Linked DNA regions of Kluyveromyces lactis. The protein of the gene in region 1 purifies or fractionates together with the protein of each later gene. This does not show direct contact. Links are inferred from orthologs where the notes say so. Each region holds a gene or a part of one and is shown on either strand. Other genes may lie near its edges.

What was found. The genes of interacting proteins can lie anywhere in the genome.
Region 2: the proteins of RSM7 (region 1) and MRP10 purify together in Saccharomyces cerevisiae (affinity purification with mass spectrometry; 3 studies listed by BioGRID). This does not show direct contact. The link is inferred for Kluyveromyces lactis from reciprocal best matches to the Saccharomyces cerevisiae genes RSM7 and MRP10.

The regions. Positions count from the first base shown.
Region 1 is NC_006041.1:512,030-514,800, forward strand, and holds RSM7 (mitochondrial 37S ribosomal protein uS7m), read left to right. Parts: upstream 1-1,455; coding exon 1,456-2,250; downstream 2,251-2,771. Other genes in the region: PSY4 (Psy4p), read right to left, coding at 1-515; KLLA0_E05765g (uncharacterized protein), read right to left, coding at 2,323-2,769.
Region 2 is NC_006041.1:1,177,897-1,180,344, forward strand, and holds MRP10 (mitochondrial 37S ribosomal protein mS37), read left to right. Parts: upstream 1-1,553; coding exon 1,554-1,841; downstream 1,842-2,448. Other genes in the region: NPC2 (sterol transporter), read left to right, coding at 1-426; succinate dehydrogenase assembly factor SDH5, read left to right, coding at 743-1,234; FAD1 (FMN adenylyltransferase), read right to left, coding at 1,988-2,448. UniProt on the Saccharomyces cerevisiae protein: Component of the mitochondrial ribosome (mitoribosome), a dedicated translation machinery responsible for the synthesis of mitochondrial genome-encoded proteins, including at least some of the essential transmembrane subunits of the mitochondrial respiratory chain.

The DNA.
Region 1 (2,771 bases):
CCAAAATTTACAGCCACTATAGTTTCAATCTTCGAAATAAACGCCTGCAAAGACTTCTCATCTTCTTTATTCGTGCGGATCCACTCAATAGGTATCAGAGAAACATCTTCCATTGGGTTTGTGTTTGGACACTCTTTGCCCAGCCTGGGTGTCCAATCAGTATTCACCAAGCAACATTTCTCCATGGCCGACACAAACTTTTGCAAACTGTGCACAGGGAAATATTGTAATGGATGGTAAGATAATTCGCATATCCGTTGAATCGTGAACGGATACTTATCTCTTTTTGCAAATTTCACAACAAGGTACCTCGATAGCTCTTTCAATCTGTGTAAAAGGTCTTCCTCTTGGTCCTCGTTATAATTGAAGATCTCCTTCGGTATCGTTATGCTGAAATGTTCAGATAGCTGTGGGATCAATTGCGAAGGCGATATTTCGTTAAACGCGCTTAGATCTTTATCGATAACTATTTTAGTCAAACGGTCGTATAGATGTCTGGATTTTATTCCCATCATATTGACAATGTATCTGATTAATGAGCTGATAGTAGGAAAGGCTGGCAAAAAAAAAAAAATTCTACGGTATAGTAATATTACACTTGGTTAGATCTCCTTGAAATGGCACTAACGAAAGATCGGTGTTCTCGGGGTATTCTAATTAGCACAAATAAGTCCAGTATGAGCGATGCCTTTTTTATTCCAAACTGGCAGATATAGAATAGATAAAAAGGATAGTCTCGGAAAATAATATGAAACAACGGACTTGTAACACCTAGTCCCAATAGACAGTACACGGTTAGCCAATCCCAGCTCAGCCAGCAGCCTTATAAAGTTCGTTCTCTAGTCTGTTGATTGACCGTTCTATCTTTGTAGCTTAGAAACCTACATGTTATTTGAACAAATTTCTTTTATTTATCATTTCACATAATATTGTGCGCATATAACAAATTTCACCAACTTTTCACGTAACGAAATGTGATATTATTTAAAGGATTTCACTTAAGAACGGCAGGAATTTTAACACTTAAGTACGGAAGTTCTAAAGATACTATAGTTACATACCTGAATACAAAATAGATCAACGACATCTTTACTATAATATTAAAGGCTAAGGTGTCTAATAAGGTACAGTCTATATAATATCATTAATTATTCTTGGCAAGCTTGTGCTCAATGCACTGACAGGCAAAACTACCAACGGCACATAGAAACAGATCATTAGTAGTCACGTGTATTTATGCGGGTAACACTGTTCACACTGGCTCATCTCTGAACCTTTGATCAAAAAAATTTACGATTTTCAAACCAAATTCAATATCATCATATTCTGGTGAAGTAAGCTTGAATTTGGATCTAATGAGAGTTACTCTTAGATTGAATAGGTTCTGGTTGTATTGTGTGTGTCCTTGTGTGGTCCTTGTGTACACTGGCATCTATTCAACGGAAATTGTACAGTATGTTGAGAGCAGGAAGGTTTAGTCTGAGTCACGTCCATGCTAACGTTTTGGCAAGAAGTCCACTTGTACATGCTGCCAGTATACCGACCATGCAAACCAGATTCCAAAGTCAATCTGTGAATAATAATGCGTCTACAGGGGAGAAATTAGCTAGCCTTAGCGACGAACAGGTTGATGAATGGTTGAAAGTTATTGGATCGTTAGAAGAAGAGTTTTCGCAACAAGATTATAACCCAGCTACGTCCCTTGCACCAGGTAACCAATCTAGAATTAATATCTTGGAGAAGGCTATGGAATTGAACAAGCCCAGCTTTGAGCCAAGTCAAGAGCAAATAAATGAATGGGAAACGTTGAAGCAAGTTCCCATTCCAAAAAAACAGGATCCAGTTTTACAGCATGTAACGAATATGATTATGAGACACGGGAAAAGAGAAAGAGCTGAGAAGATTCTTTCAAGAGCGTTATATATTGTGTTCTGTCAAACAAGGAAAGACCCGGTAAAAGTTTTGAAAGAATCCTTGGATGTGTTGGCGCCTCTTATGGTTATCAAGACCTTCAAGACTGGTGTCGCAAAGGCCACTGTGGTTCCAGTTCCATTGAATCAAAGACAAAGGTTTAGATTAGCTTGGAAATGGATTGTGGAAAGTTCTGTGAAGAGATCATCGAGCGATTTCTCAGTAAGACTTGGTGAAGAATTGGTATCTGTCTTCAACGGTAATAGTTCAGGTTTCGAAAAGAGAGACTCTATTCATAAGACTGCTATTGCACACAGAGCTTACATTAACCTAAAATGATCAAAGTTCCAACCTCCACTGTATTTACTTGAATAAACCTGTACATATGTATACGTGAAATATAAATGAACGTTATCGATTTTCATAGTTATGCTGAATTTGTTGCTCTATCTTATATGCAATTCCTAGGCCCAGCAGACTTCCCGAAAAATTGGCCAAAATATCGTTTACATCAAAGGACCTTTTTCCTCGTGAGAGGAACTGTTGTGCAAATTCACTGCTCGTACTGGCACATACGCAGCATACAATAAATGCCAATAGATATTTGTTCATGGAAAAAGGTTCGTACGCAGCCAAATTCCTTGATCGTAGTCTTTTGGGGATGAATGCCGGCAACTGTACGGTATCACATTCAAACATCATGGTAAACAGAACGGTTTCAATGCAAAATACTATGCAATGGGCGAGCTTATCATGAGTTGATGTTATTAGCTTTAACCTGGCATCAGTAGTTAATCCGAGGAAGACAACAAAACATACACTCGAGAAAAATGTTACTGCGTATTTATATCTTATCATTT
Region 2 (2,448 bases), about 670 kb from region 1:
TCAGCGAACAAACCGATCCCTGGTGACTCTCCTTTATTGCAATGTGATGTTGACCAATCTCAATCGCTTGATGTTACTCAAGTAAACTTGGTCCCCAACCCACCACAAAGAGGTGAGAATTTGACTATAGCTGCTGCAGGTGTCCTACAAACCACTATCGAAGAAGGTGCATACATCGACATCGAAGTTAGATTAGGTTACATCAAGTTAATCTCACAAACCTACGATTTGTGTGAACAATTGGAGGAGAACGACATCGACGGATTGAAATGTCCAATCGAGGAAGGTGTCTACGAGTTGAACAAGATCGTGGAGATCCCTAGCGAGGTGCCACCTGGCAAATACTCTGTCATTGCTAGAGCTTACAACGTCGACGATGAACAGATCACGTGCCTAACTGGTGAAGTAATCTTCCCAGCGTACTAGACACACCTGTCACAAAGGCTACCTGTCTCTCACTGACCTTACCCAGTGTGAGCCAAGTATAAGGTCTCCTCCTATAGCGACGTTGCAAAGCTGTGGAGTTCTAGGTCCATGTACACGTGACCGAACCGATTACGGCACCTTTTTACCCGTCTTGCTATATATAATATTAATTGAATCACAATTTGAATTGGTTGATCTCTCTCCTCCGTTACCCCAGGTTAGGAAGAGGTCCTAATTTGTATTACATATATCTAGTATACCCTCCTCTATACTATCCCTACCTGTCCAGTCAACAAACGACCACTGTCATCTAATAATGCTAAGAACTGTCTTCAACAAACCATCAGTGTTGAAATCTGGAGTTAACTCGATTACAAAGCAATGCCGTTCTCTTCACGCAAATGCTTACTTGTTGAACAAGGGCAACAGCAACGGTGCTGAGGGCCAAGATGACGATGTCACGGTGAGAATCAGAATCCCACCTATCAAGAGAACCGGCGAGTCTCTAGACAAGAAGCGTGCTAGATTAATTTATCAGTCCAGAAAGAGAGGTATTCTGGAAACAGACTTACTTTTGTCACGTTTTGCTGCTAAGTATTTAAAGGAAATGACCCCAGAACAACTAGAAGAGTACGACCAGTTGTTGAACGAACTAGATTGGGATATCTACTACTGGGCCACAGAAAACTATTCCATTACACCTCTTCCTGACAGATGGAAGAACTCCAATATTCTAAAACAATTGCAAGAGTTCAGTAAGAACAAGGATCGTGAAATCCTAAGCATGCCTGATCTTTCCAAATACTGAACATCAGCGGTATACGTACTTGCCAATTAAGCAACAGTATAGTCTATAGCTCTTATTTTATACCCATATGCTCTCTCTCCCTCTGTCGCGGCAGCTCATCATTTCCAGGGCAGGCCCAAGTGAAAAATTTAACCCGTACACCGCATACTTAGATCCAACATTGGCGAAAGTCTCAAAAATTTTGTTAAGATCATAAAGAATGATATCGTTTATATGATGGAAAATATCATAAATGTAGTCGCGTAGTCCGTTCTAGAGGTCTTGTAAGGTCGTGTTGCGAAGGGTACGTCCAAGATATCAAGTGTTCATATATTAAAGCATGTCCAGTAAGACTCCTCTTTATAAATTACCACCTCTTCCCAGACTTAAGGTGAAAAAGCCAATTATTCAACAAGAGGCTAACAGATGCTTGGTATTGATGTCCAATCTATTACAATGCTGGTCTTCTAACGGACACATGTACGGTGCATGTGAGACATTGGCCCAAGATTTGAAGGCATGTACCGCGGAAAATGCCTTAGGTAAGAACCAAAAAGTCCAGAAGAGTAATATCAACTATCATGCTGCTAGATTGTACGATAGAGTTGGTGGAAAATCTCATGATTAGAAAGAAGCAGACAGACTTTCTCCCCCTTCGTTATCACTTGTACATAATACCATTTTCTAATATTACATATATCATCTAAAATCAAGGAATTCACGATTTATTAAATATGATAGAGATTTTTGTAGCTATTTGTGAGTGGATTCATCTCAAACTTTTCTGGCGAGTCTGCCAGCTCTTTCCCACTCGTCTTTCGTTAGATACCATCCCGGATGGAACTCAGATGAATCATGCTGTTTGATGGTATTAAGGTCATTCTCGTTAATTTCGTTACAATGCATGTTAGAATCTCCTCTGTAATTGTTTTCAATTTCCCATTGGAAATCGCTATGTTCAGTCTCGGCCTTTGTCATGGAGCCTATAGGTTCTGGTATCCGTAGGTATGGATTTCTCAATGTGTTGTTTACACTGCCCAATGAAGTGAATCCCATCTCATATAATCCGCATACTTCTTCTCCCGAATACAATAGGAAACTCCATATCTGTGAGAGATTCCAATGTAGCAACGGTTGCAACCTGTAGAACTGGGGCCAACTGGGGTCCGTCTTTTGAATTGGTTGCAACGTCTCCCCAAATGGATCTGTGTGTCTAATGCCGATTACTATTGCCT